Linked DNA regions of Callithrix jacchus. The protein of the gene in region 1 interacts with the protein of each later gene in a pairwise test. Links are inferred from orthologs where the notes say so. Each region holds a gene or a part of one and is shown in the gene's direction. Other genes may lie near its edges.

What was found.
Region 2: the proteins of CTNNA3 (region 1) and PKP3 interact in a two-hybrid assay, tested with the Homo sapiens proteins (2 studies listed by IntAct). The link is inferred for Callithrix jacchus from reciprocal best matches to the Homo sapiens genes CTNNA3 and PKP3.
Region 3: the proteins of CTNNA3 (region 1) and JUP interact in binary tests that used the Homo sapiens proteins (3 or more experiments, as listed by UniProt). The link is inferred for Callithrix jacchus from reciprocal best matches to the Homo sapiens genes CTNNA3 and JUP.

Annotation. Positions count from the first base shown.
Region 1 is NC_133513.1:62,651,941-62,659,384, forward strand, and holds the start of CTNNA3 (catenin alpha-3), read left to right. Parts: upstream 1-2,774; 5' UTR 2,775-3,718; intron 3,719-6,419; 5' UTR 6,420-6,510; intron 6,511-7,444. UniProt on the Homo sapiens protein: May be involved in formation of stretch-resistant cell-cell adhesion complexes.
Region 2 is NC_133511.1:131,501,168-131,508,094, reverse strand, and holds part of PKP3 (plakophilin-3), read left to right. Parts: intron 1-92; coding exon 93-724; intron 725-824; coding exon 825-948; intron 949-3,138; coding exon 3,139-3,343; intron 3,344-3,922; coding exon 3,923-4,097; intron 4,098-4,311; coding exon 4,312-4,429; intron 4,430-4,501; coding exon 4,502-4,672; intron 4,673-5,228; coding exon 5,229-5,414; intron 5,415-5,777; coding exon 5,778-5,931; intron 5,932-6,098; coding exon 6,099-6,291; intron 6,292-6,398; coding exon 6,399-6,486; intron 6,487-6,927. UniProt on the Homo sapiens protein: A component of desmosome cell-cell junctions which are required for positive regulation of cellular adhesion. Required for the localization of DSG2, DSP and PKP2 to mature desmosome junctions.
Region 3 is NC_133506.1:91,454,137-91,461,856, forward strand, and holds the start of JUP (junction plakoglobin), read left to right. Parts: upstream 1-2,869; 5' UTR 2,870-2,939; coding exon 2,940-3,066; exon of another isoform or gene 3,067-3,382; intron 3,383-7,720. UniProt on the Homo sapiens protein: Common junctional plaque protein. The membrane-associated plaques are architectural elements in an important strategic position to influence the arrangement and function of both the cytoskeleton and the cells within the tissue.

The DNA of each region.
Region 1 (7,444 bases):
TCCCCTTCCTGACTGAATGAATATGTAAGGTCTGAAGGTATAGCAACCATATTGGGACTATGAGATGAAAATATGTACGTGCATATAGAAAATGGCAAAGCAGAAAGGTGGAAAGAGGCGTTTCCTGTTCCATTTGAGAATTTCCTATTCCCAGATTTCTTTGTTCTTTCTTTTAAAAAAAAATGGTGACAAGTGACTATATATTTGAAACATCATTTCTTATTTATTTAAAAAAATTTCTTGAAACAATAAGATATGATTTCATGAGAAAAAAGAGTTGTCAAATGAAGCTCCCTTTACAGCTTGGAGAATACTATTTAGAAATAAAATTGATAATTAATTTGCCTTTTTGATGGAATGTTTTCATTTATAATTTTGGATATCGCCCTTTCTTGGATTAACTTTTTTTTTTTTTGAGACAGCGTTTCACTTTTGTTGTCCAGGTTGGAGTGCGGTGGCACTATCTTGGCTCACTGCAACCTCTACCTCCTGGGTTCAAGCGATTTTCCTGCCTCAGCCTCCAAGTAGCTGAAATTACAGGCTCCTGCCCCCACGGCCAGCTAATTTTTGTATTTTTAGTAGAGACGGGGTTTTCACCATGTGGGCCAGGCTGGTCTTGAACTCCTGACTTCAGGTCATCTATCCGCCTCTGCCTCCCAAAGCGCTGGGATTACAGGTGTGAGTCACTGTGCCCAGCCAGGATTGGCATTTTAATGCAGTGTCAAATATTTTTTAATTTTTTAAATGGAAATGAGTAAGTTATACACCATTTTATTCTCTTGGATACAGGAATGGTATTAATCTCCCAGGTTTTTCGAGACAAATCTCTATGAGTTTAAGCCACTAGAATTGGATTTTCTGTTATTTGCGGCTAAATGTAATCCTGACTGATACAGGAAAGGCGACCAGTTAGGAAACTAATGCAGTTGCTTTTAAGTGACTTAAATGGGGGAGGAAATGGTGGGGATTGGGCACAGAGGATGGATTGAAAATGTAAATATGGTCAAGAGATCGAGACCATCCTGGTCAACATGGTGAAACCCCGTCTCTACTAAAAATTACAAAAAATTAGCTGGGCATGGTGGCGCGTGCCTGTAATCCCAGCTACTCAGGAGGCTGAGGCAGGAGAATTGCCTGAACCCAGGGGGCGGAGGTTGCGGTGAGCCGAGATTGCGCCATTGCACTCCAGCCTGGGTAACAAGAGCGAAACTCCGTCTCAAAAAAAAAAAAAAAAAAAAAAAAAAAAAAAAAAAAAAAAAAGAAAATGTAAATATGGGCTGGGTGCGGTGGCTCATGCCTGTAATCCCAGCACTTTGGGAGGCTGAGGTGGGTGGATCATGAGGTCAGGAGTTCAAGACCAGCCTGGCCAAGATGGTGAAATCCGGTCTCTACGAAAAATACAAAAAAACTAGCTGGCATGATAGCGGGCACCTGTAATCCCAGATACTCGGGAGGCCAAGGCAGAGAATTACTTGAACCTGGGAGGTGGAGGTTGCAGTGAGCCGAGATCACGCCACTACACGCCAGCCTGGGCAGCGGAGTGAGACTCCGTCGCAAAAAAAAGAAAAAAGAAAATGTAAATGTGGTGAGTGTGTGTGTTTGTTCAGTCAGGTCTCAAATAGGATGGGGCTGTGTGGGTGGAATCCACTTCAGGTACCACGGAAAACTATCCCTAGCCTTGAAGTATCAGGGAAGTCCATAAAAGCACCTGGGAAGCATGGAGTGGGAGAGAGATGGTGAAAGTGGGTGGAAGGTAGCAGACAGGGGATGTGTAGGGTTTCAAAGATTAACCTCACAATTTTCTTATTTGAAACATAATACTGGGTCCATGTAGAAATTTTAGAAAACCCAGTTAAGGAAAAAACTATTTAAGAAAATAAAAAGCTCCCCAAATCACAACACCCAGGGATAATAATCCCTGCTAACATTTTGGTGTATTTCTTTCCAGTCTCCATTCATTCTCCAGCTCTCTCTCTCTCTCTCCCATTCTTCCCACATAGATGGGTATACACAGGAATTGCTTAACAAAAACGTCATCATAATATGATATGCTGTTTTTTGATCTGTCCTACTTTTTGCATTTGGCAATGCATTGGGAAGGCCCGCCCACATTATTAACACAATTTTAATGGCTTCATGTGTAGTGTTTCATTATGTGAATGTATCTAAGATGCTTTATAAGTAGAACTTTAAAATTGCTTTTATTATCTTCCATTTCATATCACGTTTGGATGTGGTCTGGAAACCATTGGAAGTGATTCTGGGATGAAAGGGAAGGTGGCTAGGTTTGTTCTTAGTTTAGTAAGGTGTAGTATCATCAGGCTGTGATAACCCGAAAACTTGCGTCAATATTTATATTCATTTTATTTCTATTTTGCCAAGTTGCTCTTCACATAGTGCACGAAGACCTACTTTGCCTTTTAGGACAGTGGAAGGACTTCTCTCTTGGTGTAAACAGTGCATATTTGCAGCACTGATTTTTATCGGCTTTTTTACAGCGTGTAAAACGACTCCGTTAGCTGACAGGTATGGAAAATACGGAGGAAAGAGTAAGAGGTTCCATTTGAAGGCGTCTAATTAAAAAAAAAAAAAAAATCGAAAAGATCAGAAGCACCCGCTTTCGCAGCGAGCAGGGTTCGAACCTGCGCGGGGAGACCCCATTGGATTTCAAGTCCAACGCCTTAACCACTCGGCCATCGCTGCCATGAAGAGATAGGGGAGGCGGAGACACTTTAGTGTAACCACTACTGCGCTGGCGCCAGGCCCGTGAAGGCGGGGCGTGCACCCTTCTGAGCTCTGCTCGGTGAGAGGCGTCGGGGCTGAGGACTTGGGGTGCGGGAACTACAGCGTGGACACGAAGAAATAATAGAAAGCACCCTATGTAGAGGTATATTCAGATGTTAGAAACTCTTCCCTTCGCTGTGCTCCGAAAATCGCAACCTTGCCTGGCTTCTGGTCACTGACCTGGTTTTCCCCCTCCCGCTTCTTTATTAGGTCTACCAGAGGGCCGTGAAACAAAGATCTGTTCCGTTCCGTGCTGCGGGCCCGCGCTCCCGAAAATTTTGCATTTCTGTGAGAGGAGCGTCTTCCGTGGCGTTTCCCGCCAAGACGGGGGTCTCCTTCAGAACAGTTTCTTTTGCTGATTGAGCCTGGAAGCGTGACGAACCGGGATACTGGCCATCCTTCCCGGGCTTCTGCCCAAGCAGCCGTCTCCCAGTTTTTAAATTCCCAGTGATCCCCTCATTGCCGAGCTTAACCGTGAGACGTCAGGCTCCAAGAGTGCTCTGCGTTCTATCAGCAGACGGGTGGCCTGGAACGTTGTCTGAGAACCAAGTTCTGCGCATTAGTCTGCATTCATTACCATTAAATGCCATTAATGCCTTCCCGGGTTCGGTGTGGCTTCTGCCCTAGGTGCTTTATCCGCGTTATTTCTTCAAACTCTGAGAACCGAGGTCTGTGCTGTCTTCGGCCACCTCAGGGCACTGAGACTTGGGTTTGTGTCCGCGGGTTGGCGCGGCTTATGCGCGGCACGTGGCGCCACGGGAGAGCCAAGTTCCGTCGATGGACAATTTGAGACAAAGAAGGCCTTTCACTAGGTTAAGTTTCTAGAAGTGTTCGTGGATGTGCCACCGTCATTCTCATAATGGCACATTTCATAATAAGGAGGGCAACTCGACCTTTGGAAGCCTCTCTACGTTAAGTGATTCCACTTGATAAGGTGTGTAAATTTTCTTGAGACCTTCTCATACCATTCTCGAAACCAAATTATGGTGCTAAGTGTCTACACTCACTTAATTGTGGAAGAGGAGCGGAATATTTGAGACTTGTAAGGACAAATTTTGTCTTATTTGAGATTGTTCTTTTAGGCATTTTATCTTTAAAAAAAAATTTTGGCAGAGCTACCAGAGGGATCCCATTTTGTCTGAATACTGCATGGGAACAAAGTAATTCCCAACATTGCCAGGCATAAATTTTATCGTAAACACAAAATTCACTTGCACTTTTTCCAGTAGATACTGTCCAAGAACTGTTTTTATTCTTTAATCTTGTCCTTAGATTGTACCTGTGTCCTGAGATAACCTAGAATTTAACCTTACCATTTTCCTTCTTATATTTTAATTTTGAAGCCCTTTTTATCTATCTGTACCGCTGAATGATGATAATATTTACTGAAAGCACTTTTTCTTCTGTAACCTTCCCTTCCCCTTTAAAGAATCCTCTTCACTTGTTTAAAAGCTTGACAGTAATGGGAATTGATTATGGTTAAAATTGCTCAATCAAAATTTTTACTTTGAGAGGGCTTTTTTTTGGGGGGGAGGGGAAGGCAAGACTATGAGGAAAATAATCGATTCTAAAGTTATGGTGTATTTTGTGAGAACAGTTGTGATTAAAATGTCTTTGCAACATTTCAAGTGAAATACCTATATTTAACATTTAAACTTTTAGCTTGTTTGAGTTAATGCAGGCTTTTAAAACAGTGAAATAATATTTTTTTTGCTGTTATCATAGTGCTAGAGTGAGCCAAGAGATCAAAATTGGTATAGACTCCACCCCCCAAAAGTGTGAATTTCCAAATCCAAATGAGTTATTTTGGCTCCAATCTTAGGTCTCTACCATTGTCACCTTTTTGTTTTTTGTTTTTTTGAGACAGAGTCTTAACTCTGTTGTCGAGGCTGGAGTGCAGTGGAGTGATCTCAGCTCACTGCAAACTCTGCCTCCCAGCCTCAAGCAATTCTCCTGCCTCAGCTTCCTGAGTAGCTGCGATTACAGGCACTCGCCCCCATGCTCAGCTAATTTTTGTATTTTTAGTAGAGATGGGGTTTCACCATGTTGGTCAGGCTGGTCTCGAACTGCTGACCTCATGATCCGCCCACTTTGGCCTCCCAAAGTGCTGGGCTTACAGGTGTGAGCCACCACGCCTGGCCTTTAGCATTGTCATTTAATGCAGTGAGTGGCAAGTTAGGAATACAGAAGTAAAATACATATGTTTCTAATTCATGACAATAATAACATAAAACGTTGTTTTGCAACCATGTGCAAAGTTTAGTTTGTACAGAGCCACTGGTGATCCTGATGATCTCCTCCCTGCCACTCCCTGTTTCTGTTCTTTTATGTGGCAGTTTCTATTAAGCTAATTTGGCTTAACAGGGCATGTGATTGGGAGCAGCATGGCATTTCTTTGTTCTTTTATAGCAAATCAGAAATTTATCTTAAATTATTTTGATGGTTTTGGGAGCATTTTATAAAATCATAGAAGTTTAATGCTGGAAGAAATATTAAAGCTGGTCCAATCTCTTCATCTAGAGATGGGAAACTGGGGCCCATGAATAGCCTGCCCAAGTTCACATAGCTAATTACAGTCACGCATCTCATAATGACACTTGGGTCAATGGTGGACCACATATACAGCAGCAGTCCCATAAAACTTTAATACTGTATTTTCACTGTATATTTTCTTTGTTTAGATAGATATGTTTATATACACAAACACTATTATGTTACAGTTGCCTACTGAATATGCTGTATATGTTTGTAGTCCAGGAGCAATAGGCTACACCAGTGGTCCCCAACCTTTTTGCCACCAGAGACCAGTTTTGTGGAAGACAATTTTCCACAGGCTGGGGGAGGAGGGATGGTTTTGAGATGATTCAAGTGTATTACATTTAGTCTACACTTTATTTCTATTATTATTACATTGTAATACATAGCTCACCATAATGTAGAATCAGTGGGAGCCCTGAGCCTGAGCTTGTTTTCCTGCAGCTAGACAGTCCCATCTGGGGGTGATGGGAGGCAGTGACAGATCATCAGGCAATAGATTTTCATAAGGAATACACAACCTAGATCACAGTAGGTTGTGCACTTTATAGTAGGGTTCATGCTCCTATGGGAATCTAATGCTGATCTGACAGGAGGTGGAGCTCAGGTGGTAATGTGAGCAATGGGTAATGGCTGTGCATCAAGATGAAGGTTTACTCTCTCGCCTGCTCACCTCCTGCTATGTGGCATGGTTCCTAATAGGCCTCGGAGCAGTACTAGTTGGGGTACTGGAACTATATTATACAGACTAAGTGTGTGGTAGTCCATACCATCTAGATTTGTTTAAGTATACTCCACAACGTTTGCACATTGATGAAATCATCTAAGGATGGATTTTTCAGAATATATCCTTGTCATTAAGTGACACATGAGTGTATTGGCAGACAGGGCTATAACTTGTAATATTAGCTTAGTGTTCTCACTCGTTTTGTTGCCTTCATGTATTATTTGTTATTTTCTGGCACAATGGCACATAAATTGAGATGTGTAGATGGCAATAGGCAAAACCTCCAGCAGGGAAGAGTCACGAGTTGAATGTTGACGGCATATGAGATGTCAGATAATGTGTTGTGATGAGTATTTTTTGTTCTTTATTCCAGCATTTATCCTCCTGACATTGACACCTCAGTTGTACTTAAGGAGCACACCCCTCCGTCATTGAATGAAGCATTACTTTGTCTATCAATCAAGGTATCCCACCCTCCTCTGGCCAAAGAGTGGGCATGTGACTTGTATTTGTTTTCTATTGCTGCATGAGAAAGAGCCATGAACTTAGTGGCTTAAAGCAACACAAATTTATTACCTCACAGTTTCTGTAGGTCAGGAGTGTGGTTATGTGTTGACTGGGTCCTTTGCTCAGGGTTTCATCAGGTCTCAAGGTGGTGACTGGGGCTGCAGTCTCATCTGAGGTTTGGGGTCATCTAAGATAACTAGTTGTTGGCAGAATTTAGCTCCTGTGGTTGTTAGACTTGCTGGTTGTCAGTAGGGGGGCATTTTCACTTCCTATAGGCTGCCCACTGTTCCTTGCCATGTGGCTGTTTCAACAACATGGTACTTTGCTTCTTCAAGGTCAGCATGATAATTCCTCTGATGTCTGCTCAAATAGAGTTTTATATAATAGAATGCAACTATGAAAGTGATTATTCTATTATATTCACAAGTCCTGTCCAAGTGAAAGGGATTATTTAGGGTGTGTAACAGCAGGGTTTGGAATCTTGGGGCCATCTTAGAATTTTGCCTACCACACAATTCAGGCTGGACTAATCAGATCCCAAATCCCTGTTCTTTCTTTTACGCAATTGGATTATGAAAATTACACACAAAACACATAATAACCAACAAGAGGTGATCAAAGTATGGTAATTTTAACTTAGCTGCCTTGTGTGCTTTTGCATATCACCTGAAAGGAATAGGTTTGACAACTGCAGAGTTTTAGAGGCTTTGCCACTATTTAGGATTCTTCTTTGTAATTTTATATGAGTTGGAGAATAACTCTAGGTATATGTTTTGGATACCATATGTGAGAGGACTTAGTACAAGTTGGACAAAGAAAATTATGAAGTTATTAGCAATAAAACTTTTATTAAGATTTAGTCAGTAAATTAAAGGTATTGTGAAAAGTGAT
Region 2 (6,927 bases), on another chromosome or scaffold:
ATCTGGGCTCTGCAGTCTGGAGAGCGGGAGGCTCTGCAGCAGGCTGGGCACAGGTGAGCCAGGCGCGTCCTCACTGCCCCCTCCACCCACAGGGCTTCCGGCCCATTGCCAAGCCACCCTACAGTCCAGCCTCCTGGTCCTCCCGCTCTGCCGTGGACCTGAGCTGCAGTCGGAGGCTGAGTTCCGCCCACAACGGGGGCAGCGCCTTTGTGGCCGCTGGGTACGGGGGTGCCCAGCCCACCCCTCCCATGCCCACCAGGCCTGTGTCCTTCCACGAGCATGGTGGGGTTGGGAGCAGGGCCGAGTATGACACGCTGTCCCTGCGCTCCCTGCGGCTGGGGGCTGGGGGCCTGGACGACCGCTACAGTGTGGTGTCTGAGCAGCTGGAGCCCGCGGCCACCTCCACCTACAGGACCTTTGCCTACGAGCGCCAGGCCAGCTCCAGCTCGGCCCGGGCAGGGGGGCTGGACTGGCCAGAGGCCAGCGAGCTTCCCCCGAGCCGGACCATCCGTGCCCCTGCTATGAGGACCCTGCAGCGATTCCAGAGCAGCCACCGGAGCCGCGGGGTAGGCGGGACAGCGCCTGGGCCCGTCCTGGAGCCTGTGGCCCGAGCACCATCTGTGCGCAGCCTCAGCCTCAGCCTGGCTGACTCAGGTCACCTGGGGGACGTGCGTGAGTTCAACAGCTACAGTGGCCACCGAACCCTGCAGAGGCTCAGCAGCGGGTGAGGGGCTGTGCCTGGCACAGGGAGGGGGCTTCTGCCATGGCCCCAGCCTGAACCCAAGTTTAGCCTGACCCCTGACCTCTGACTCCTGGCTCTGCAGTTTTGATGACATTGACCTGCCATCAGCAGTCAAGTACCTCATGGCTTCAGACCCCAATCTGCAAGTGCTGGGAGCAGCCTACATCCAGCACAAGTGCTACAGCGATGCCGCCGCCAAGAAGCAGGTGACCACCCCTGACCGCCCGCTCACTGCCCCCAGGTGACCACCCCTGACCACCCGCTCACTGCCCCCAGGTGACCACCCCTGACCACCCGCTCACTGCCCCAGGTGACCACCCGCTCACTGCCCCCAGGTGACCACCCCTGACCACCCGCTCACTGCCCCCAGGTGACCACCCGCTCACTGCCCCCAGGTGACCACCCCTGACCGCCCGCTCACTGCCCCAGGTGACCACCCCTGACCGCCCGCTCACTGCCCCCAGGTGACCACCCCTGACCACCCGCTCACTGCCCCCAGGTGACCACCCCTGACCGCCCGCTCACTGCCCCCAGGTGACCACCCCTGACCACCCGCTCACTGCCCCCAGGTGACCATCCCTGACCACCTGCTCACTGCCCCCAGGTGACCACCTTTGGGGCTCCACCACCTCCCACTGACCTTTGCTCCCTGACCACCCCTCAAGATCCCCAGGCTGACTGGGCAGACCCTACTCTGTCCAGAGCCCCCTCATAAAGGAAGAGTAGGAGAATACAATGTGGATATACCTGTATCAGCCACATATACCTATACAGACCTGCATCACCTCCATACCCTATACAGATCTGCACCACCTCCGTAGCCCTGTACACACCTGCATCACCTCTGTACCCTTGTACACACCTACATCACCTCCATAGACCTGTGTACACACCTGCATCACCTCCGTAGCCTTGTACACACCTACATCACCTCCGTAGCCCCGTGTACACACCTGCACCACCTCCGTAGCCCTGTACACACCTGCATCACCTCCGTAGACCCGTGTACATGTGCATCACCTCCGTAGCCCCGTGTACACACCTGCATCACCTCCGTAGCCCCGTGTACATGTGCACCACCTCTGTAGCCCCGTGTACACACCTGCACCACCTCCGTAGCCCGGTGTACACACCTGCACCACCTCCGTAGCCCCGTGTACACACCTGCACCACCTCCGTAGCCCCGTGTACACACCTGCACCACCTCCGTAGCCCCGTGTACACACCTGCACCACCTCCGTAGCCCCGTGTACACACCTGCACCACCTCCGTAGCCCCGTGTACACACCTGCACCACCTCCGTAGCCCCGTGTACACACCTGCACCACCTCCGTAGCCCCGTGTACACACCTGCACCACCTCCGTAGCCCCGTGTACACACCTGCACCACCTCCGTAGCCCCGTGTACACACCTGCACCACCTCCGTAGCCCCGTGTACACACCTGCACCACCTCCGTAGCCCCGTGTACACACCTGCACCACCTCCGTAGCCCCGTGTACACACCTGCACCACCTCCGTAGCCCCGTGTACACACCTGCACCACCTCCGTAGCCCCGTGTACACACCTGCACCACCTCCGTAGCCCCGTGTACACACCTGCATCACCTCCGTAGCCCCGTGTACACACCTGCACCACCTCCGTAGCCCCGTGTACACACCTGCATCACCTCCGTACCCTTGTACACACCTGCACCACCTCCGTAGCCCCGTGTACACACCTGCATCATCTCCGTAGCCCCGTGTACACACCTGCACCACCTCCGTAGCCTTGTACACACCTGCACCACCTCCGTAGCCCTGTACACACCTGCACCACCTCTGTAGCCCCGTGTACACACCTGCATCACCTCCGTAGCCTTGTACACACCTGCACCACCTCCGTAGCCCTGTACACACCTGCACCACCTCTGTAGCCCCGTGTACACACCTGCATCACCTCCGTAGCCCCGTGTACACACCTGCATCACCTCCGTAGCCCCGTGTACACACCTGCATCACCTCCGTACACCTGTGTACACCTGCATCACCTCCGTACACCTGTACACACCTGCATCACCTCCAGCTCCCTGCACACACCTCATCACCTCTGCACCTCTGTATACACCTGCATCACCTCCGTAGACCTGTGTACACACCTGCATCACCTCCGTACACCTGTGTACACCTGCATCACCTCCGTACACCTGTGTACACCTACACCACCTCCAGCTCCCTGCACACACCTCATCACCTCTGCACCTGTGTACACCTGCATCACCTCCAGCTCCCTGCACACACCTCATCACCTCTGCACCTGTGTATACACCTGCATCACCTGCATATCCATATCTATACACCTGGACATATCTACACACATGTATCTAGTCTGTTCACCCCATATCCCTGTGCCCACAGGCCCGCAGCCTTCAGGCCGTGCCGAGGCTGGTGAAGCTCTTTAACCATGCCAACCAGGAAGTGCAGCGCCACGCCACAGGCGCCATGCGCAACCTCATCTACGACAATGCAGACAACAAGCTGGCGCTGGTGGAGGAGAACGGGATCTTTGAGCTGCTTCGGACCCTGCGGGAGCAGGACGATGAGCTTCGCAAAAACGTCACAGGTGCTGCCTGGCCCCTCCTCCTCCCAGCCTTCCTCCACCTGCCCTCCATCTGTCCTCCCTCCTCCACCTACACCCTCTGCCTGGCCCCATTCCTCCTGTCCTGTGTCCCCCGACCTGTTCTCCCTCCTCTACCTCCAACTCCTCTGCCTGTCCCTTCCTCCGCCTGACCCCTCTTCTGCCTGTTCCCCTCCCTCCTCCGACTGTCCTTTCTCCTCCGTGCTGGCCCCTCCACGCCATACGGCTCCCCTCCATCCTGCTGTTCAGCCCTTTGCTGGCTGTTTCTACTTGGCCTCCACTCCTGCCTCTTTCCTGGACCCCTGGTCACCCTGTTCTGCGGCTGAGTCTTCTGGTAGCTACCTCCACCCCAAGCCCGCTCACACCCCAACCAGCTCGTCCCCTCTTGCTTGGTCCGAGCTCTGTCACCCCAGATGCCACCCCAGGGTCTCCCCAGTGGGGCTCGTGAATGAGGCACAGAACACAGGGCCAGCCCTGGGGAGAGGCAGGACCTCCTCGCACCATCCTCAGAAACGCCCAGGGGGTTGGAGGGCTGACGCTCACAGCAGCCTCCCCCTCGTCCAGGAATCCTGTGGAACCTTTCATCCAGCGACCACCTGAAGGACCGCCTGGCCAGAGACACTCTGGAACAGCTCACCGACCTGGTGCTGAGCCCCCTGTCGGGGTCTGGGGGTCCCCCACTCATCCAGCAGAACGCCTCAGAGGCGGAGATCTTCTACAACGCCACCGGCTTCCTCAGGTGCGCGGCCTCGGCAGATGGGTGGGGGCCGCAGGCACGTGTTGTCAGGGACCCCGCCTGGCCCGGCGCCCACAGCCCCACACACTGCAAGGGGCGCACTGGGGGTGGGGCGAGCAGGGCCCAGGGTGGGACGGCATCGTGCTCAGGGCCTCTGCCCAAAGCAGGGCCTGGGCCTGGGGGTCCCTGGGGGGCTCTGATCTGCCTCTGTCCCCAGGAACCTCAGCTCAGCCTCTCAGGCCACTCGCCAGAAAATGCGGGAGTGCCACGGACTGGTGGACGCCCTGGTCACCTACATCAACCACGCCCTGGACGTGGGCAAGTGCGAGGACAAGGTGAGGTCCGCGCTGCGGAGGGGGGCCCGTGGCCCTCGACGCCGCCGCCCTGACCCGCGCCCCTGCCCGCAGAGCGTGGAGAACGCGGTGTGCGTGCTGCGGAACCTGTCCTACCGCCTGTACGACGAGATGCCGCCTTCTGCGCTGCAGCGGCTGGAGGGCCGCGGCCGCAGGGACCTGGCCGGGGCGCCGCCGGGCGAGATGGTGGGCTGCTTCACGCCGCAGAGCCGGCGGCTGCGCGAGGTGGGCACCGGCCTGGGCGGGGCGTGCGGGGTGGGCGGGCACCGGCCTGGGCTGGGCGTGGGGAGTCGGTGGGCACAGGCCTGGGTGGGGTGTGGGGTGTGCGGGCAACGGCCTGGGTGGGGCGCGGACACCAGCCTGGGCGGGGCGTGTGGGGTGGGCGGGCACCGGCCTGGGCGGGGCGTGGGGAGGGGCGGGCACCAGCCTGGGCGGGGCGTGGGGAGGGGCAGGCACCAGCCCGGGCGGGGCGTGGGGAGGGGCGGGCACCGGCCTGGGCGGGGCGTGGGGAGGGGCGGGCACCGGCCTGGGCGGGGCGTGGGGAGTCGATGGGCACAGGCCTGGGTGGGGCGTGGGGTGTGCGGGCAACGGCCTGGGTGGGGCGTGGACTCCAGCCTGGGCGGGGCGTGTGGGGTGGGCGGGCACCGGCCTGGGCGGGGCGTGCGGGGCGTGCGGGCACCGGCCTGGGCGGGGCGTGGGGGTGGGCGGGCACAGGCCTGGGCGGGGCGTGGGGGGTGTGGGTCCGACCCCGCCCCGCTGACCCCGGCCCCGCCCCGCGCAGCTGCCTCTCACAGCCGACGCGCTCACCTTCGCGGAAGTGTCCAAGGACCCCAAGGGCCTCGAGTGGCTGTGGAGCCCCCAGATCGTGGGGCTGTACAACCGGCTGCTGCAGCGCTGCGAACTCAACCGGCACACGACAGAGGCGGCCGCGGGGGCGCTGCAGAACATCACCGCGGGCGACCGCAGGGTGGGCGCACCCCCAGACCCAGGGGCTCCCGAGAGTTCATGCTGCGGGGGGAGGGGCAGGAGAGGAAGGGGGAGGGGAGGAGGCAGGTGGTGCCTCGGAGCATCTGAGGCCAGCGACCGGTGGGCAGGCCTTGGGCCTTGGGAGGACTTAGGTTTTGCCCTGAGTTTGAAGGGAGGCACCTGATCCTGCCTGGGCTGACGCCCCTGGCTTTGTCCCTGGGGGCAAAGGCAGAAGCAGAGCCCCCACCCCCCGGGGTGGCAGGAGGATGCAGGGACCCCAGGGTGGCAGGATCCCCCCAGGTGAGGGTCTGAGGCCTCCGGTCACCGCGCGTGCCTCCCTCCCTCCCTCCCTCTCTCCCTGCAGTGGGCGGGGGTGCTGAGCCGCCTGGCACTGGAGCAGGAGCGGATCCTGAACCCCCTGCTGGACCGCGTCCGCACTGCCGACCACCACCAGCTTCGCTCGCTGACCGGCCTCATCCGAAACCTGTCTCGGAACGCGCGGAACAAGGACGAGATGTGTGAGTCGAGCAGCCCCGTTCCCGCCCCGCCGTGTCCACACACGTTACGGGGGCTCCCGGCCACTCCACAGGGAGTAGACAGGCACGCAGCTCCCTGGGGGAGGCAGGGGACCCCCAGTGCCCGGGTGGCTGGAGTGGGGAGTAGACGGACCCCCGACCTCCCGCAGCCACCAAGGTCGTGAGCCACCTGATCGAGAAGCTACCGGGCAGCGTGGGTGAGAAGTCTCCGCCCGCCGAGGTGCTGGTCAACATCATAGCCGTGCTCAACAACCTGGTGGTGGCCAGCCCCATCGCCGCCCGGGACCTGCTCTACTTCGACGGGCTCCGAAAGCTTGTCTTCATCAAGAAGAAGCGGGACAGGTGGGGGCCGGCCCTGCCCTGCAGCAGCCCAGCCAGGGGGCTCTCCGGGCCCCTCCCAGCCACCTGCTTTCTGACTGTGTCCCCTCCTGACTTCCCTCCACCCTCAGCCCTGACAGTGAGAAGTCCTCCCGGGCAGCTTCCAGCCTCCTGGCCAACCTGTGGCAGTACAGCAAGCTCCACCGAGACTTCCGGGCGGTAGGTTCCCTGAGCCCAAGGCCAGCAGGAACGCGGGGCATGGGACGCGGGGGAGGGTCAAGGGAACCCACGTGGAGCAGTCGGCGAAGAGGCCAGTGGGTGGATGGAGGCCAGGAAGGCAGAGAGGAAGTGTCTAGGCCACACTCAGCACACTGCAGGATGGACAGAGGGCGGAGGGCCACACGGGCAGGCAGGCAGGGTGGACAGAGGGCGGAGGGCCGCATGGGCAGACAGGCAGGGTGGACAGAGGGCAGAGAGCCACACGTACAAGCAGGCAGGGTGGACAGAGGGCGGAGGGCCACAGGGGCAGACAGGCAGGGTGGACAGAGGGCAGAGGCAGGGTGGACAGAGGGTGGAGGGCCGCACAGGCAGACAGGCAGGGTGGACAGAGGGCAGAGAGCCGCACGGACAGGCAGGCAGGGTGGACAGAGGGCAGAGGCA
Region 3 (7,720 bases), on another chromosome or scaffold:
TCTCCAGTGGGGAAAATGGTCAAGGATGCTGCTAAGGTACCTTCATCCAGCCCATCCTGTGTGCTAGCTTTGAGGCTGTAGAGCTTTGTTGATGGGGGACCCTTTTCTTTTCTTTCTTTCCCCCCCCGCCCCGAGATGGAGTTTCGCTCTTGTTTACCCAGGCGGGAGTGCAATGGCGCGATCTCAGCTCACCGCAACCTCCGCCTTCTGGGTTCAGGCAATTCTCCTGCCTCAGCCTCCCGAGTAGCTGGGATTACAGGCGTGAGCCACCGCGCCCGGCCCAAATGGGGGACCCTTTTCTAAACCACCATTCCCCCAGCACCCACCCACAGGCTCCTTCTGCATATCATTCTATGAGCTCAGTGAAGGTTGAGATTTTTATTTTCTGTGTCACCAGGTTTTACTTTCTGTATTCACCAGTGCCTAACATACAGTTGACACTCAATACTCAAGTGCTGAATGAAGGAATGTTTGTAGGGCCCTTGACACACCATACAGCCACCAGCAGCATAAGCAGGATTCACATCATCAACTACAGAAAGGAAGTGTCCTTGTCTTCTTAAGCTGCCTATGAGAAGTTCTTATTTTTTTGAGACAGAGTCTCACTCTGTCACCAGGTTAGAGTGCAATGGCATGATCTTGGCTCATTGCAACCTCTGCCTCCTGGGTTCAAGCGATTCTCCTGCCTCAGCCTCCTGAGTAGCTGGGATTATAGATGCCCACTGCCACACCGGGCTAATTTTTGTATTTTTAGCAGAGACAGTGTTTCACCATGTTGGCCAGGCTGGTCTCGAACTCCTGACCTCAGGTGATCTGCTTGTGTCTGCCTCCCAAATGCTGGGATTACAGGTGCCCACCACCATCCTGGCTAATTTTTGTATTTTTAATAGAGACAGGGTTTCACCACACTGCCCAGGCTGGTCTCAAACTCCTGACCTCAAGTGATCTGCCCACCTTGGCCTCCCAAAGTGCTAGGATTACAGGCACAAACCACCACACCTGGCTGAGAAATTCTTTCTGATCTCTACTCCAGGCTCTCCCACCGTGGAGGGGTATGCTGCCCAGTTTCTTTTTTCCTTGGTTTGAGATGGAGCCTTGCTCTGTCATGCCCAGGCTAGAGTGCAGTGGCAGGATCTTGGCTCACTGCAACCTTTGCCTCCCAAGTTCAAGCAATTCTCCTGCCTCTGCCTCCCAAGCAACTGGGATTACAGGTGCCTGCCACCATGAAAGCCTAACTTCTATTTTTAGTAGAGACGGGGTTTCACCATATTGGCCAGGCTGGTCTCAAACTCTCGACCTCAGGTGATCCACCCGCCTCGGCTTCCCAATGTGCTGGGATTACAGGCGTGAGCCAGTGCACCCCGCCTGCCCTGTTTCTTTCATGCTAGGGCTGGATTTCCTTCAGATCTGCAGCTTGATGTTTCCAAGCCCACCAAAGCCTCCTGACACCAATACTGTATTTTTGGGCCAAGCAGTTGTTCTATCTCACCTCCAATTTTTCTATCTTGTCTCTATCTTGTGCCTTTTCTCTGCCCCTTCCCCACTGCCTTGACATTTTATGTCTATGCTCTTCTTCCATGAGGGGAACAGCTGATTTGGTGGTCCTTCAAATGAGAGGAAGGTGGTTCTAGCTTGGGGTGTGTCACTTTGTAGTTTTGTGATTTCTCTGAACCTCGGTTTCTTCATCTTTACGATGAGGATCATTTTCTAGTCCTATTTTTCAGAGCTGTCACGAGAATTAAAAAAGAAAAACGAAAACAAAAAACCCATACCATTAATTTAAATTCTAATCTTTATCAGTTTCTGAGTGCTTCCACAAACCTGACTTCATTTAATCCCCACATACTCCAGTGAGGTAGATATGGCTAATGTACCCAGTTTACAGATGAGGAGAAACAGCGGGAAGGGTGAAGTAACTTGTCTAAGGTCATAGTAAGCGGCAAAACACAAACCCTGGCCTTCTAATTCTGAATCCCAGAAGTACTCCATCTTTGGGGAAAAAAATCCCAACCCAGCACAAAGCCTATGAAATGCCATACAAATATGTTATTACCACTTTGGGGCAAGGATGAATAAGCCCAAAGAAGCATCATGCCTGACGCTGAGTTGGCTGGCTGGTGAAGGCGTCTGTCCCTTCCCTTGGTATCCCCTGACTTACCTGTTGGACAGGTAGGGGGAAGGGGAGAGTAGTGAGTCTCACCTGCTCAGAGCAAGGGTGGGGCAAGACACACCCCATACCTTCCATTGGTTTTTTTCCTTAGTCTTACTGACAGTCCCTTGCCCAATCAGGAGAAAGTAACTTTCTATCTGCCAATTGGTGAAGTGTTAGGATGAGATCTCAAGTTAGAGTCCATCCCTAGAGCCGACTGGCAGTCCCTGGGGCCAATGGCAAGCGGATAAACAGAGGCGGCCGTGGAGAAGGACTGGACGCGAGGCTCCACCCCTTGACGGGACAGTCAGGCGAGACAGCCAGTGAGCTCGCATCAGCGGGTGGGCGTCTCCCCCAGGGGCGGAGTTTCGAGGTGGCGAGGGGCGTGGCTTGGCTGTCAGGTCTCTTCGCCTTTTGTTCGGTTACTGAGTTGCTGCCTTGGCCAGAGTCCGGAGCAGCCGCCGCCCGAGCGCGCCGAGTTCAGTTCGCTGTCCGCGCCGGCTCCCACCCCGGCCCGATTTCTACCCGGCCGGCCAGGCCCCAGACTCAGGTGCGGGCGATCGAGGACAGGTATCGATGGGGAGAGAAGGGGTGGCGAGCGGCCGCGGGGCCGGTCCCAGCAGTCTCTGGGCAGGTGAGGGCGGGTGCCATGGAGCGCCACCCTGCACTGGCAGCAGGGGGCGCGCTGGGGTCCTGGGCGCGGCGACTGGGGGGGCGCGCGGTTCGGGCCGAGCGCGCTTAGGAGCTCCGCGAGCGGGAGATCTGAGCAGGGCGGGAGGGCTCCGGGCAGATGCCTCGGGGGTCGCGCCCCTCCCGGGGCCCGCACAGCTCGCCCGACGCCGCGTCCCTGACTCTCGTCCTGAGCTGGAGGGGGAGACTTTGCCCTGCTTTGACTGCGTCCCAGGGCTCTCGCTGCAGTCAGTAATTTACCGTTTGGGAAACTTGCTGCCGCTGGTCTCTTTGGGGCCACCCTCACCCCACCCCACGCGTCATCCTCGCTTTCCCTCCCTCTCTACTCCCCCAGGCCTGGGTGGGGCCCTATTGTCTGCGCCCAGCTTGCCCAACTGTGGGGGCCGAGCGCACATTTTCCCAGTGACGCTGGCCCCACCTGCCGAGCAGGTGAGCGCACGGAGTCCAGAGGCCCAGCCCTCCAGCTCCCGGAGCCTCGTCGATACTACCTGCGGCGCCTCCCTCCACTCCAGTGGGTGCCCGGCTCTGGCTTCTCCAGCAGAGGTGGGATGGAGTGACAGTGGGGGCTGGTGCACGGCTCGGCCCAGTGTCCAGCTGGTGTTTGGCACCCGTGGCTCGGTCTGGGGGGAGGGGTCTGTGCACGAGTGAAGCATTCAGGGTCACCTGGCCCAGTTTCCAGTAGCTGTGGCTGCCAGAGTGTTGGTAGGGGAACAGGAATCGTCTTCTTTTCTAACCTCTTATTGTTGGAAAAATCACCCAAAACAAACTTTGCAGGAGGAAGTATTCACAGCAGCGTTCTCTGGGGGTTTTCCCGTCTCCTTGCCCAGAACTTCCTTTAGGCTTAGGAGGTCCTTCTTGGTGCAAAGTCCCCTCCCCCAGCCGGCCCCCGGCTGAACCTGGGCCTTTGCCTGCGCTCTGACCCTGGCTTCCCTGCCCCCACATCCATCCTGTTAGCTGCGCCCCAGGGGCCTGAGGTGGGGGCCGGGGTGGGGTGGGTGGAAAGGGCCGAGAGGGGAAGCAGCTTCTTCCTTCTCTTTCTCTTCCTGCCTCCGGGGACCACCACACCCCCTCAGACATGGCCTGCGTGAGTGGCTCTTTCTCAAGCTCTGCCCCCTCCCCAGGAATGGGGGTGGGGCAGGGCTGGGCCAAGCTAGGAAGGTGGGGGGAATGGATGTTCTTGTCTTTTTTTTTTCTCTACCCCATCCCCCACATTACTTAGCTGGCTGGTAATTGAGGCAGAAGAGCATGAGGCTGTGGGGCTTGCCTTCCATTTGATTTCTGAATTATGAAGGTGCATGCTTTCTGGAGGCCTGGGCAGACCTTTCCTATCCCCTTTCCTGAAAGAATTTGACAGGGAAAGTGAGACTGGAGAAAGGCTTTTGGAGGGGAAGGTTTCTTCAATGTTAGACTCCCTCAGGAGAGGTGAATGCCCCCCCCCACCGCCCCCACCTCCTTCCCTACTCCCAATTTCCTGAGACCCCGCCTCCAGAATTGGGGGTCGTCACCAGGCTTTCTACCCTGGTTTTAAAAAGTCCTAAGTGCGGTCATTTTGCAGGATTTGGAGCCCAGCCTTGGGAACAGAGAGGGAATATAAGAGTTGGGTTCTCTCTCAGTCCTGGGGGTGGGAGAAAGATTGCAGAACTGGGGATCGAGAGTGCTTGGAGGGGAAGAGCCTGCCACCTCTTTCTTTGCTGTAGATGGGGGATTGAGGCTGGGGGGCCAGACTCAGCCCCTTTGTCCTGGGTGGGGATCATGCACAGCCCTGGACCAGGGGGAAGCCAGTGTGGGAACTCAGATCCTTTTCTGCTGGGGAAAGGGGTGCTGCCTGCCTCTGGGGAGCAACAGGGCACGGAGTTTGGGCAAAAATAACCTGCTTTCCCTCTTCTCCGTGCCAAGGTGGAGGAGGGGAGGGCATTGTAATTGTGTTGGCTAAATGATTAGTTTAGCTAATCTGGTTTGTGGCTATGATGAAAAGATACTACTGAGGAAGTACTGCTAGGAGATGCCTGGTGAAAACTGGCCACTGACTGGACTGGGGGCGCGGGGGAGGAGGAGAAGATAGGATCCAGTTAGTCATTTCTTGCTAGATGGAGCCCAGCTTGGGTGACTTGAGCCCTCCCGAACCCACTCCACCCCTCCCCTGCACCCTGGCTCCACCCCATTCCCTCTGGAACTTCTGTTTGGAATGCCAGGGCTGAGGCTTTGAGAATTCAGTGCATAGGAACAAGAAAAGACAGGCTAGGGCTGCCAGCCTTTTTCCCTTCCTGGAGCCACTTTAGGATGAGATCGGTCCATTGACTAGTCTACAGAAGGACTGTTTATTTGGAGAGATGGGATGGTGGGGCAGTTCTGAGCACAGGGCTTTGGGCTTGAACTGAGCTGGGTTTGAGACCCACCTCTGTCCCTCATTCCATTACCTGAGCCTCAGTGACCTCTTTGTCAAAATGGGAATACTAATACCTATCTGCCCTGTAAGTACTTGACAAATGGTAACTCAAGATCAAGGTAAGACTTTACAGAAACCAAGCACTTTCATTAGCTAGTCTCACTTCAAACTTAAGGCTGCCCAGGCTCGATGGCTCAAACCTGTAATCCCAGCACTTTAGGAGGCCCAGAGGGGCAGGTTGCTTGAGCCCAGGAGTTCCAGACCAGCCTGGGCAACATGGCAAAACCCTGTCTCTACAAAAAATAGAAAAATTAACTGGGCATGGTGGTGCAAGCCTGTGGTCCCGGCTACTGGGAAGGCTGAGGTGGGAGTATTACCTGAGTCCAGGGAGCTCAAGGCTGCAGTGAGCTGTGTCACCGTACTCCAGCCTGGGCTACAGAGTGAGCCTCTGTCTCAGAAAAAAAGAAGCGGGTATCATTATCCCCATTCTACAGATGAGGAAATTGAAACTCAGGGAACTTAAGTAATTTGCCCAGGGTCGTACAGTGAGACCCAAGCAGCACCAAGACTGGCATTTGGGCCCTGATTCCAAGCCCAGAACCCATCCTGCCGTATTGCCTCATGTAGCTCTGAAAAGGATTTTTTTTTCTTGAGATGGAATCCGCTCTGTCACCAGTCTGAAGTGCAGTTGTGCAATCTCGGCTCACTGCAACCTCCACCTCCCGGGTTCAAGTGACTGTCCTGCCTCAGCCTCCCAAGTAGCAGGGATTATAGGCTCGGGCCACCATGGCTGGCTAATTTTTTGTATTTTTAGTAGAGACAGGGTTTTGCCACGTTGGGCAGGCTGGTCTCGAACTCCTGGCCTCAGGTGATCCATCTGCCTCAGCTTCCCAAAGTGCTGGGATTACAGGTGTGAGTGGAAGTTTCTGCACTCCCTTTTGAGAGCCTCTGGCTGAGAAGAGAATAAAGAATGTGGCTGGTGAATGTAGGGCAGGTTTGGTAGGCACGAGTGATACCTGTCCCGGCCAGCAGCCCTCTGAAACCTCCCCAGTGGCTTGATCTTTAGTTCCCAGTGGAGGAGGCTTCTCCGTAAGGCAGGGCTGTGGTGAGTGTTGGGAGGAGGTTGAGCAGGAAACAGGAGGCCGGGGTCAAAGCTGTGCTGCCTCCTAGCTTGACTTAGGTAGAACCATGGGTGTTTTGGGCTTGTCCCTGTGTAAGAGGTGGGAGTTGCCTGCTTTGCTGGAGGCTGGGGTTGTGCCAAGATAACGGGGTGCTGCTCTGTGGGGAGTGGAGAGAAACGGGAGTCTGATTTAGGCCTGGGCTAATGCCCTGCTGGAGTGGGCCAGGCAGTGCTGCCAGGCTGCTCTTGACGGGGAACTGGCTGTCCTCTGCTCTGGAGCCCAAGAGACCTGAGATAGGCAGCTGCCGGGAGGGCCTTTCTGGTGATGGAGGTAGGGGGCATGCGTGCTGCCTGTCAGCCAGAGCCTTGGCCCTCTAGGGAGGAGCTGGTGTCAGATTGTCCTCCAGACCTGCCTGGTTCTGGCGTTGCTGCCAGCTGGACATCTGACACCAGAATGGGCGTGGATTTGGGGTCTGGGAAATGGGTTCTCTTTATGTGATGGTGCAGCCGGAGTACCAAGCTTGCCACTACCATTCTGCATCCCATGAGGGCAGGTGGGGACCCTGGGCCTGGGGATGATTGATTGTGGAGAAGGCTAATGGGACTTGAGACAGAGGAAAAGAGAATGCACCCTGTCCTGCTGACTGACTGCTACCGAGAGGGCATGAGGTTGCAGGTTTCCGCCTCCCCTGAGGACATGAGAGCTACAGCACGATGCTCTTACAGAAGGGACGAAGCCTAGATGGGAGGAAGGGCTTTCTGCCTTCTACAGACAGATCTTGAGTTGAGGGGTAAGAGGGAGAGGCGGAGGCGCAGCATTGACTCTTCTCTGATGAGGGCCGTCCTGTCTGGCAGGGAGGCCAGGCAGGAATCACCGCCCTTTGGGGAGACTCCTTATCTTGAATCTTTTGCGGGAAGAGCAGCCTGGCAGTGAGAGGGAGAAGCATCTGTGAGCTGGCCCCATGACCCCTGTGAAGAGGAAAAGCAGTGTGGCTGGGCAGGCCACCAGGGCTTGTGTTCCGCAAGTGACACTGAGAGGCCTCTCCTGGGACGTGGTTGAATCTGTGGACATGGAGTATCTCCTTGTGCGGCGACTTTCTCTGCCAGATCTGAAGGGACGGCTCGAGGACCACTCCCCCGTGCTCAGCCTCCTGGTGTCTTGGCCTTCGGGGCCCTCAGGGCAGGAAGCTCAGTTTTCTTTCCTCCTCTCTTCTCCCCGCCCTCATGCGTGGCTAATTTTTTGTATTTTAGTAGAGATGAGATTTCACCGTGTTGGCCAGGATGGTCTCGAACTCCTGACCTTGTGATTCGCCCACCTCAGCCTCCCAAAGTGCTGGGATTACAGGTGTGAGCCACCATGCCCAGGCTCTTTTTT